3 linked regions of the Xenopus tropicalis genome follow. The protein of the gene in region 1 interacts with the protein of each later gene in a pairwise test. Links are inferred from orthologs where the notes say so. Each region holds a gene or a part of one and is shown in the gene's direction. Other genes may lie near its edges.

What was found.
Region 2: the proteins of egln3 (region 1) and atf4 interact in a two-hybrid assay, tested with the Homo sapiens proteins (2 studies listed by BioGRID). The link is inferred for Xenopus tropicalis from reciprocal best matches to the Homo sapiens genes EGLN3 and ATF4.
Region 3: the proteins of egln3 (region 1) and foxj2 interact in binary tests that used the Homo sapiens proteins (3 or more experiments, as listed by UniProt). The two-hybrid records come from large-scale screens. The link is inferred for Xenopus tropicalis from reciprocal best matches to the Homo sapiens genes EGLN3 and FOXJ2.

What each region holds. Positions count from the first base shown.
Region 1 is NC_030684.2:113,846,350-113,850,517, reverse strand, and holds the start of egln3 (egl nine homolog 3), read left to right. Parts: upstream 1-1,251; 5' UTR 1,252-1,692; coding exon 1,693-2,085; intron 2,086-3,321; coding exon 3,322-3,441; intron 3,442-4,168. UniProt on the Homo sapiens protein: Prolyl hydroxylase that mediates hydroxylation of proline residues in target proteins, such as PKM, TELO2, ATF4 and HIF1A. Target proteins are preferentially recognized via a LXXLAP motif.
Region 2 is NC_030680.2:121,049,529-121,053,642, forward strand, and holds atf4 (cyclic AMP-dependent transcription factor ATF-4), read left to right. Parts: upstream 1-1,203; 5' UTR 1,204-1,457; intron 1,458-2,525; 5' UTR 2,526-2,638; coding exon 2,639-2,825; intron 2,826-3,049; coding exon 3,050-3,873; 3' UTR 3,874-3,963; downstream 3,964-4,114. UniProt on the Homo sapiens protein: Transcription factor that binds the cAMP response element (CRE) (consensus: 5'-GTGACGT[AC][AG]-3') and displays two biological functions, as regulator of metabolic and redox processes under normal cellular conditions, and as master transcription factor during integrated stress response (ISR).
Region 3 is NC_030683.2:9,117,733-9,121,926, reverse strand, and holds the start of foxj2 (forkhead box protein J2), read left to right. Parts: upstream 1-1,354; 5' UTR 1,355-1,438; intron 1,439-2,137; exon of another isoform or gene 2,138-2,714; coding exon of another isoform or gene 2,715-2,737; intron 2,738-3,140; coding exon of another isoform or gene 3,141-3,147; coding exon 3,148-3,459; intron 3,460-4,194.

The sequences.
Region 1 (4,168 bases):
GCTTTTTTTTGTATGCCATTTTGCCCACTTTTACGCTTGTCACTTTTTCTGGAAAAAAAATGGACATCATCTTTATTAAAGGAAAACTACATCCCCAATATAAAAGCATAACCAACAGATAGTTTATATCACATAAGTGGCCTATTAAAGAATCTTACCTTACTGAAATATATATGTATATCAGTGAATATTGCTCTTTTAGGTCTTTTCCCTTGACCCACCATTTTGTGATGGTCTGCGGTCTCACATATCACCTGACAGGAAACAATGCAGCGTTAACTGTAACAGGAAGAAGTTTGGGAGTAAAAGACAGAACTGTGCCCATTCATTGGCTGATGGGGCCTAATGTGTATGTGTGCCTTGGCTTGTTTGTGTCACTGTGAATAGCATGATCCCAGGGGCAATGCTTACAATTATATTATATAAATATATAAACATATATTTTCATGTATTTTTCAATATATAATTGATTGTTTGCAATAGATGCAGTGTTGCTGGTCTTTTTCTCAATATTTAAACTCTTTTACCGTACACCCGGGACAAGGATTGAAGCGGTGTGCCTCCCTTGGTTCGATATATATAAACATATATATTTCATCAACAATGTTCACATATTGTTTTCTTTTAATACCATTGGCATCAAATATCATTACCAGCCAGGTGCCAACAACCCCACCAACTACAGTATCTAGCAATTGGCATATTTCATAATTACTTCCTAGTCCCATACATTGTGGTTTAACTACATATCCCATCAGCCCCCATCAGACAGGCGGCTGAAATAGACGCTTGTAGTTTAGCCACAAACTACATGTTGCCCCTCTCTCTCGTACAACCCACTACCTTATTTTGCCGACGCTTGCCACACCATACATATTTATACCCATGCCTTCCCTTTTTTTCCACCACCCTCTCCATTTCCTCCTTCGCCCCCCGTCCACTTCTCTCCCCCTCCCCTCCTGTGTTTACTACACTCAGCACTCTCCAGTAACAGGCTACATGCTCAGCTCAGATTCCTCAATGGCGGGCGGCACGCCTCAAAACGCCGTCTCCTAGCTACCGGAAGCCGCCTCCAGGCAAAGCTAGCCAATCGGCTCTCAGTTCCGTGTGTCCACCTCGCACGTGTTTTCTATTCCCACCCCCTGTGCGCTGCGGGCCCCGCCCATGCACGGCAGTGATTGGTAGAGAGCGGCAGGGCTGAACTGCTGGGGTTTGAAACCGCATAGGAAGCCACGCCCAGAGAGTGGAAACAACTCATCCCGCACGTAGAGAGAGAGAGGTATTAGCGGCAGCGGCGGGGGCAGGGACTGGGCAATATAAATATACACACATATTCCTGTGCCTCACTCTCATACTCGCACGGAGTGCTCACACCGCCGGCCGGGGCTATACTATAGGTGTGTGGGATAGGGGGGGTGAAGCTGCTGCTGCTTATGTACAGCCCAGTCACTGCTGCCTGTTTATACCCCCATAGGGACAAGACTGAGCCCTTCCAGTTACTAGGGGGCAGAGTATTTCCACTGTATGCGAGCATATAGGCACCTCATAGAGTGGAGCTGCTCACCCTGCATCTGGGCACTGTGGCCCCTCATTGCTGGGCTGCCAGCTTGGCTGTAGGTGCCTTTTATTTCACTTTGCTCTCTTTTTCTCAGTTTTGCTGTGCAAGTCCCTGTTGGAGGTCCTGAGTCCCCTATGCCACCAGGATCTCCCCCAGTAGTGTTCTCGGACATGCCCCTCATGCACAGCCCAGCTCTGGACCTGGAGAAGCTGGCGCTGGAGCGGGTCGTGCCTCGCTTGCTCGCCTCTGGATACTGCTATTTGGACAACTTCCTAGGGGAGGAGATAGGGAACCGTGTGCTGGAGAAAGTCAGGCGATTGTACCAGGACGGGGCGCTGAAGGATGGGCAGCTGGCCGGGCACCTGCAAGGAGTCTCCAAGAAACACCTGAGAGGTGACAAGATTGCTTGGGTCGCCGGGACAGAAGAAGGATGCGAGGCCATCGGACTGGTTTTGTCAGTTATTGACCGACTGGTGATGCTCTGTGGCAACCGACTTGGCCAATACTATGTGAAAGAAAGGTCCAAGGTGAGGCTCTCTGCATCTTTTCCTGTGTTTGGTCTTAGGCTTCCCCCCTTTATAAGCTGGGGACTAACAGTGAAGCCTAAGGCCAGCATACCGACTGAGCAGGTAGTAGTGTAGATTATTTCACATTGCAACATTTTAGAAATCCCACATTTCAAGGCTCCTGCCCCTGAATTTATCAGAGGTAGCAGATCTCAATAAAAGGGCGCACAAAGCCTCCTGCTCCGTCTGTTGCTGGAATGCTCTTAAGGTAGGGGTATGACCTACCTGAGATACTCAGACATGCAGAGAAGCCATGCATGGACCTGTTTCAATCCCCCAACAAGAGGATCTACTGGTAGAATTTACATTGTGATCAGTTGGCTGTATCCCCCCCTCCGCCAACAGACTGTGCTCCAAATGGAACCCAATCCTACTGGCTGTGTTAAGCTGTTTTTTTAACCTTTAGTTACACAAAACATATGGCTTTGTATGCCTCCACCCTGCACCTTCAGCATATGCCACGTATTAGCTTGCTTGCATGTCCTAAAAACTGAAATTTCCATTTTAATAAAAAAAAAAAAAAAAAAATACAATAAACCACAGGCCCCTATTCTCTTCTCATCCCTTGCCAAGTCTTATTCGTTCCATTTGTTCCATGTACCCTTATATAAGAGTCGGTGACATGTGGAATTCCATCACAGCTGTGGTCAGGTATGGGCACGGAAATAGAGAAACATCCTATTGACCCCATTCAACCAATTTATTTTATGATTTCTTGATATGCAACTTGGCCCTTTAATTTAGCATTTGCTGTAGGGTCCTAGAGAAATGTGTGACAGCAGGCCTTAGAGCCCTGTTTACCAGGACTGGGGTGGGGTTAGGGGCGTGCCCAACTACCTTATGGTCTGCACGTACATCTTGCATTAACCCCTCCAGTGCCACAGCTCTCTGGTGTTGGCAGTCACTTACAAGTCAAAGCCAGCTATGGATATTTATCCCTGTGAACGTTTTGTCACTGATGGGGGTTAAACATAGTTTTTGCACAAGCAACTCCTGAATGACAACATTTTAGGGAACACTGATACCCTTTATTTAGGTCTGCATTTGTTATTGAGCCGCCCACATGAATTCAGTAAAAGTCGCAATTGTGACAATACTAATGCATTGCATGTGCTGCCATGTACTGGTATTTATGTCAATTCACTGCTGTATATCTATTTACTGAGAAATGTTAATCCGTGCCTATTCACTTCTCAGGCCATGGTAGCATGTTATCCTGGCAACGGTGCTGGATATGTGCGCCATGTGGACAATCCAACGGGAGACGGACGTTGTATCACCTGCATTTATTACCTGAACAAAGACTGGGATGCAAAGGTAAGACGTTCCTCTAAATTCTTTTAGACCTCGTATACCCTGGTGATGAGCTGTGACTGTTGCAGTTGGTCATGGCGCTCATATCTTTAGTGTGTAGTGTGGCTCTCACAAGGAATACACAAATGAGTGGTTACACAGTGGTTGACATGTGGTGTATTGTGTTAGTACTGACCACCAGGCAGATGGCCTCTCAGTTTACAGTGTGGTGCAGCCACAGATCAACCATAGGAATGTATAACAGATTTACTGATATTGGCTGTGACAGAACACTAACAATCTGCTGGAACATTGCAGTCGCCGCTATATGTACTGAAACGTGCTGTGTCAGCTGCAGGTCTGTATGTGGCCTACAGATATTCATAGCTGGCACAAACTGGTTTCCTCATTGGCATTTTTTCTTTATGTTCAGTAGCTGCAGATTAGGTCACACGCATATAATCATCTGTGTAATCCAGGCTTTATGGATATTATTTTGCCCCCTTTGCTACCTAAAGCATCCATAGATTACTGCTACTATCAAACGGGAATTAGCCTTACCGTAGCTGAACTACACATTGCAAACTGTCTGCACTAAGTGTTTTCATTTATCTGCCAACCTGTTCTTTGGTGTCCAACTTATGTGGTGTTGGCTGTTGGTATGGCCATTCTGCACCAGAGATTTCTATCCTGTAGCTGTGCAGCTATTGCTGAGTCCCTGGAATGGCCCTTTCACAGGAGCTTACAAAGT
Region 2 (4,114 bases), on another chromosome or scaffold:
GTAATGTTACAGGGGCTGACTTTACAACGAACATGTGGGCTCAGGAATGCTCCAACAACAGATGCTCTTTATAGTGTATACACTTTACTTCAGCGAAGCTACAAAACGAGCAGGAAGAGACAAATATGGCAGCGCCAGGACACGCTCCCAAGTTCCCATCAGCGATTCTCCTCACATTCCAGCGCCGGCGCCCCGCCCATCCGCCTCACTCTGGTGCAGCAGCTTTGCGTGCCCACTGCGTGATTCAGAGGGCTCATTCGCTTTCAGCCAATAGCGCGGCGTGTAGGGATTGGGCGCTGCCTGGGCCAACCAATCAACGGCAGCTGTACACGCGTTGGCTTCGTGATATGAAAGCGTCTCTGGGCGGATTCACCATTTGGTGGCAGGGCGGGCAGAGTGGGGGGGGATAATGTGGGAGTGGGACGTGGGTTTGTTTCCATAACAGTGGGGAGGGGCAATGCCAGGAACACGCGTGACACACCAAATGAATTAATTAAAACTAGCGCGCCCTTTTCGTTTATGTCTATAATGCTTAATTAGCCAATATAAATAAAGTGAAAAAGTGGTGTCAGGAGTTTTATTTCTTGGTTACTTCGGGGGAACGCCATAATATTTGCCCCAAGTGCTTATTATCCGTATTGGTGGTATTTACCCCTTGCCTCTTTCATAGACTGTGGCAAAGCAGGGGGTGTTGATAAAATGTTATATTTAACGTATAATAAAAATCTATCAGGCCTGTTCGTCTGTCTATCGCCAGTCACTCAAACATGGATTATTATACTAATGACCGAAATGGTTTTCATTTGTATCGGGCGACTGACACTACTTTCTACGTCGGTGACACTGACACATTGTCCTCTTTGAAGTACAATGTCTGGGTCTTGCCCTGGCCTGGCGTACGCAGAAATTCGTACAAGAGCACTACAGTGTATCAAACAATGAACTAAAATATTGCCTTCGTTTACTCTAATAAACACCACGCACACATTTATTCCGCGATGAATCTTATTCTGTTAGAACCCTATTGATCCATTTATAATTGCATTACACAGTATAGTTCCTGGAGCGGAGGCACACGTTGCCGTCAGATCACATGTCAGAGCGACGCTACAAAAGAAGAGACTACAGAGCGGACGGATACACGGGGCGGAACCACGAGTCTATATAAAGGGGCGGTAAATCGCCCGCCACGTCAGTCTGCAGCTTGGAATGAAAGAGGGAACGTAGTTTGCTGTCGCTGGGTCTTTTTTGTTAACTAAATACTAAGGTTTGAGGACGCGACGCTTCTGCTGTAGCAGGTTCCAACAGTGATTTCTTCAGTCCGGCGCCGCAATAACCAGCGGACAGCCATGGCGCTATAGCGGCAGCACAGGCCTGCGGCTCCCCTCTCCCCCGGCCATAGCGAGGCAGCAGCTCCCAGCGGCGCCCGCAGCACCAGGCAACGGCACAGCCATGGCGTAAGTATCCCTACTGGGTCATGTACTACATGGCGAGGTGTTAAGTGTGTGTGTGTGGGGGGTGGGAAATTGCTTGAAATGCAGGAGTATTAATATAAAACGGGGCAGGAAGGAATGTCTGGGGTAATGTAGCGGTAGATCGAACGTAAATGTTCTTATGTGTCTTGCCATGTGGCTCTTGTCCTTGGCAGACTCGACTCTGGCGCCCCCTAGGGTACGATGTATGTACAGCAGGTAGACAATAGCTATCAGCCATATTGTGCGGCTGCTGGAGTGACAATTATCAGTATATACATCTCATTCATTAGGGCCACAAAGGGACCTTTGGGTTTTCTTACAAATGCAGATTTCCTGAACTTGCATCTTGTGTTTACGGTTTAAATTATTGAAGCTATTAACTTGCTGCTTTTGTAACCTGGGTGGTGTCCATAGGGTTAAACGAATTCCACTAGGAATTGTAGCTATTGCCTTAATCAGTTTGTTGAATGGGGGACTCTCTAAAATGTTTCAATGTCACAGTGGGTTTGATCTCCTTTAGTGGTATTTCTAGCTCCTGTGTGGCTTGGGAATTCTTAATGGGTGTGCTTTGAAATGAGACTCTCCCCAGGCAGATTTAGACTTGCTCTCTAGAGACAGCTGTTTCCCTTGTATGCATAGGGGAATCTCTCATAACAGCGCTCCAGATGGCATTGAAAATTAGTAATGTATTTTCAGTTAGTGTTGTGCTTAACAATAAAATGTAGCATTCAACAATGATCTTATGTGAGGAAGGTGACTTCATTTGTTTAGGACATGGTTTGGATGGTTTAGCAATTTGTATTTAAAGGGGTTTGATGCTAAAATGGCATCCATACCAGGGTGGAGAACAAACCAGATGGTTAACTTGTGAAATGGCTGCTGATCAGCTTTGTGAATCACCGGGTGTGGGTGGGGCCGGAGGGAAGGTGCCCATATTTGGTCATGAGGGAAGAGAAGACTAGAATATAATACTGCTCTTGTGAAGAAGCATTGTGAAGAACAAGCATGTTTTTCTTAATAATGTTCTTAATATTTGCTTTTATTATGCAGGCTTCTCCAGGCATCCCACAGCAGCATTGCTGTATACGAGGAAGAAAGCTCAAAATTGTCATCACCAGTCGAATTCGTGATCCTACAGAAAGATGAGTTTGTTAAGCGACGAGATGCTGTTGGGGGACCTTCTGTCCCCCTTCAACCAGTCGTTTTTGGCGGCTGAAAAGAGTTTGGGTCTCTTGGAGGATGAATTTGAGGTGCCCGGGTACCTCCTATCGCAAGGGTTCTCCAGCGACAAGGCTAAGGATGGCGTCTCTGACCTGCTGCCTTATGTTGAATCTTTAGGCAGTTTTCATGGTAAGTAAACTGGCTTTCAAAGGGTTCAGTCTCTCTTCTGTATAATAGAATATTCATGTATTTTGCTTGAAGCACCTCTTTGCAGCCACATTACTGGAATAGATTTGTTAAAATATTTGTTCAATGGCTAATGGGCATTTTAAGTGGAAAGATTGTAAAACTTAGCTTATGAGATGATAGAAATTTGTTGCTTTGCTTTCTGAGCCTTCTTTGTTCTTTATTAGGGGACGCCTTCTCCGGCATGGATTGGATGGTGGAAAAGATGGATCTGAAGGAATTTGATTTAGACTCCCTGTTTGGGTTGGAAGATCTGGAATCCACTATCTCACCAGATGAGCTAACATCCACGTTGGAAGACTCATGTGATTTCCTAGAGGACCCACCTCATGCAGCAGTGATTGGCCACTTTGTGCCATCACCTGAACCTGTCTCTCTTCCAGAGTCCCCACTGGATGCTGATCAGGTTGCCCCATTTAGCCCAGATTTGACAGCCTCTCTCTCCTCTAGCCCAGACCATTCCTTCATCTTGGATGTAGGTAGTGAGGTAGATGTTGCAGAGGATGAGAAAAAGTCCTCTGCAACATATACTCTAGAGATACTTAAATGTGAGAAGGAAGATTCCTCTGATAATGATAGTGGAATCAGCATGAGCCCCTCCTACTTGGAATCCCCTCAGCAGAGTCCATCAACTGTAGAATGCTATAGTAGTCCTCAGTCCTCCCTAGAGTCCCCAGTCTCTGAGAGACCCAAACCTTATGATCTTCCCTGTAAGGATAGAGATGTGATGGCGAAGGTGAAAGTAGCTGGAGGGCAGCCCAGAGTAGACAAGAAGAAAAAGAAAATGGAGCAGAACAAAACAGCAGCCACTCGCTACAGACAGAAGAAAAGAGCAGAGCAAGAGTTAATATCTGGAGAGTGCAGAGAACTAGAGGGAAAAAATGATACCCTTAGAGAAAAAGTAGATTCGTTAACAAAAGAGATCCAGTATTTGAAAGATCTGATAGCTGAAGTCCGACAGGCCAAAAGCAAACGAGCAAAAAGTTCTTGAATAGGGAACAAAGCTGGAGCGTGTGTATGTTGTATATAGGTCACTTAAGAATGTTGTGGAATGTCTACTTAATAAATTATTTTGTAGTTACTTTTTTGTCGGATTTCTTTATTTGTGCAGTATAAATTAGCTTGGGTTTTCAAAATGAACTAAGTGGGGTTCTTTTCTATTTTCCCTTTAATACATTATAATGAAACCTTGATCTTAACCCTTTTAGTGCCAATTGCACTGGTGCCTGCAT
Region 3 (4,194 bases), on another chromosome or scaffold:
TCTGCCCTAGCTCTCCTCTGTTAGCCCTTGTATGCCTTAGCTCTCCTCTGTTAGCCCCTCGTATGCCTTAGCTCTCCTCTGTTAGCCCTTGTATGCCTTAGCTCTCCTCTGTTAGCCCCTCGTATGCCTTAGCTCTCCTCTGTTAGCCCCTCGTATGCCTTAGCTCTCCTCTGTTAGCCCCTGGTCTGCCCTAGCTCTCCTCTGTTAGCCCTCGTATGCCTTAGCTCTCCTCTGTTAGCCCCTCGTATGCCTTAGCTCTCCTCTGTTAGCCCCTCGTATGCCTTAGCTCTCCTCTGTTAGCCCCTCGTATGCCTTAGCTCTCCTCTGTTAGCCCCTCGTATGCCTTAGCTCTCCTCTGTTAGCCCCTCGTATGCCTTAGCTCTCCCACCAGCCCACTTGCCAGCCCAGCCTGCCCGGTGCCTTTCTGGGCTGCCTTACTCTGCTGTGACTTAGTTTCACAAAACTACACCAGGGCAGTTACCAATAGCAACCAATCAGCAATCTGTTTTATCCAGTCTACTACATGTGAAGCATTAAAACATTGATCTGATTGGTTTTAGACCTATGCTAGTGCAGTTTAGCGCCTTCATTAGTAAATCACCCCCACCCTTTCTTCTGTGGTCCCCTCCTTCTCTTTGTCCTGTGTCTTCTCTCACCTCTCTAAAACTGTCTGTATCTCCCCAATGTCACCCCCATTTCCAGAACTGTGTCTTCTTCCCTCTCTTGATCCATTCTTCCTTTTCTCTGTATTCTCTCCAGACTCTCGTACCCCTCTCTCCCTGCCCTCTGTCTCCTTTCTCCCCTCTCCTTTCCTGTCTCTCTTTTCCCACAAATGCGTCTCTCTCTCTCTGTGCCGTCTCTCTCTCTCTGTGCCGCCTCTCTCTCTCTGTGCCGTCTCTCTCTCTCTGTGCCATCTCTCCTCTCCAGTTCTCAGTATCTCTCTCCCCTTTCCCTGTCTCTTCTCTCCTCTCTTTCTTCCTGGTCTCTGTCTGTATTATTATTAAGATGTATTTATAAAATGGCAACATATTTCACAGCGCTGTACAATAAATGGGTGTATACGTTAAACATACAAGAAATCATACAAAAACAAGCTCTCCCCAAAAGAGCTTACAATCTTCCCCCCGCCTCCTCCCCTCAGAGTAGCCCTATGGCCCCACACCATGTGAATAAGCGGTATCCAGCTGGAAGGGCTGCACTGAGTGCATTTGTGTCTCCATGATGTGCTAGACCTGTCTCCCTCCCCTCTCTCAGTCCTCCCTCCCCTTCACACTTATGGCCCGGAAGAAAACCCAACCCTGCAGGAAGCAGAAGTTCCTCCTCCTCTAGCTGTCTGTGTATTCCCCCCCATCCAGAAATCCTGTCGTTCCCCCCTCCCCAGCCTTTGCCGTGGAGAGGGGGCGACCCCGGAGAAGAGAAGGGAGAGGAGGTGCAAAATGTGAGCAATGACAAGAGGGCAACTGGGAGAGAGGGAAGGGGAGAGGGGCAGAAAGGACGGAGAGGAGGGGAGGGGTGGGGGGAAGTGACAGATGCAGACAGACAGATGTGTGAGCAGGCACAGACACACACACACACAGCTCCACTGCACTGGCACATAATTACACACACACACACACACACTCTCACCTGCAGTCATAGCAACACACAGACACAAATATTGTCACACACCCAGACTGTCACACAGACACCCACGCTGTCACACACACCCAGACTGTCACACAGACACCGACGCTGTCACACACACCCAGACTGTCACACAGACACCCACGCTGTCATACACACCCAGACTGTCACACAGACACCCACGCTGTCATACACACCCAGACTGTCACAAAGACACCCACGCCGTCATATTTACATTACACTTCCAGACTGATATACAGGCACCCAGTCTGTTACACAGACATCCATAGACTCCTACAGAAACCCACACACATAGAGACACCCAGCCTGTCACACAGACATCCATAGACACCTACAGAAACCCACACTCATAGAGACACCCAGCCTGTCACACAGACATCCATAGACACCTACAGAAACCCACACACATAGAGACACCCAGCCTGTCACACAGACATCCATAGACACCTACAGAAACCCACACTCATAGAGACACCAGGCCTGTCACACAGACATCTATAGACACCTACAGAAACCCACACACATAGAGACACCCAGCCTGTCACACAGACATCCATAGACACCTACAGAAACCCACACTCATAGAGACACCCAGCCTGTCACACAGACATCTATAGACACCTACAGAAACCCACACACATAGAGACACCCAGCCTGTCACACAGACATCCATAGACACCTACAGAAACCCACTCTCATAGAGACACCCAGCCTGTTACACAGACATCCATAGACTCCTACAGAAACCCACACACATAGAGACACCCAGCCTGTCACATAGACATCCATAGACACCTACAGAAACCCACTCTCATAGAGACACCCAGCCTGTTACACAGACATCCATAGACTCCTACAGAAACCCACACTCATAGAGACACCCAGACTGATACATAGATGGCTAGGCAGACAGACACCCAGCCTGGCGTGTAGACAACCAGATTATATCACAAGACCACCGCAAACTGACCTACAGACGCTTAGACTGCTATTCTGAGGATGCAATAGACACCTGGATTTTTTTGCCAACACCAAGATTGGGGTAGTCCATTTAACATACAGACAGCCGGATGGCATACAGACATCAAAACTGGTAAAAAGACCTCTAGACTATTATGCAGACAGGCAGACAGGCAGACAAACGGACTAGCAACCATACAGGCATGCAGACTGTAGACTGGCAGAGATAGCCACATTGTGTAGATACAAGTTGGTATATTAGTCAATAGGTGCAACTGTTTGTATCAAGCCTGCAGTACAGACAAAGGACGTATACAATTAATATATATATACTGTATATATAGCCCCAGACACGTAGTGCAATCATGCAGTTATACAATGGGCACTACCAAGCTTGGCCTTCTCCTTCCTGGCACCACTGCACTGGCACACGGTACAAATACTAACACAAGTGACAGTGGATCAGGGCCTGGGTTTGTAGACATTGGGGTCAAGTTAGAAGTCATAAATGAATGACCCAAAATTCTCTCCTTCAGTTCCAAGATGGCGTCCGATCTGGGCAGCAGCCTCACCTCCATAGACTGGCTTCCACAGCTCACAATCCAGGCGGCCATGAAGGGCTCCCAACAAAACAACGCAGGGCGTAAGGGCCCAGGATCCCCCACAGACCCCAGTGCCATGCTGAGCAAGGAGGAAGCTGCAGCGCACCGTGATGGGAAGCCCCCTTACAGCTACGCCAACCTCATCCAGTACGCCATCAATTCTGCTCCAGCCAAACGCATGACCCTCAGTGAGATTTACCGCTGGATCTGTGACAACTTCCCATATTATCGCAATGCTGGCGTGGGCTGGAAGGTGAGAGCAGGAAGGGGTTCCATTTAATGTGGGTCAGTAGTCTCTGTGGGGGTTGGTGGGAGTGACTGAATGTCAGGGGCAGCTCTGATTATACATATTTTAAGGGTATACAAGCAAAAGTGATGGGTTCCAGTTAAACCATTCAGTTATACAGGTTATTTTTTTCCATTTGAGCTGTTAGGGTATACAGATGATCCCCCCATTCCAGCTATTTTGGTGTACAGGCAATGGGTTATTATTATTATTATTTATATAGCGCCATCAATTTATGCTGCGCTTTACAGAATAGAGGGGTACAAAAGACAGAACAGTTAACATGTACATATAAACAATTCACAAAAATGGTTTGCGGTTATATTGGATGAGGATCGGAGACACCAAGGGGAGGGCCCTGCTCGCAAGAGCTTACATTCTAAAAGGGAGGGCTGAGACATAAGGTCAGGGTAACTAGCATGGCATTAGAGTTTATGTAGGTGTGTAAAGTGACAGTGCGGAGTGAGAGGTGAAAACCAGTGGTTATTGAATGTTTGGGGGGTTTAGGTTATAGGCTTAAGTGAAAAGGTGAGTTTTAAGAGACCGTTTAAAGGCTTGGAGAGTCTGGCGGTGCCTAATGGGACGGGGAAGAGTGTTCCAGAGGATGGGTGCAGCGTGTGAGAAGTCCTGGATGTGAGAGTGAGAGGAGGTGATGAGTGAGAAGGAGGTCATGTGTACAGTAAAGGTTACAGCTGGGGGTGT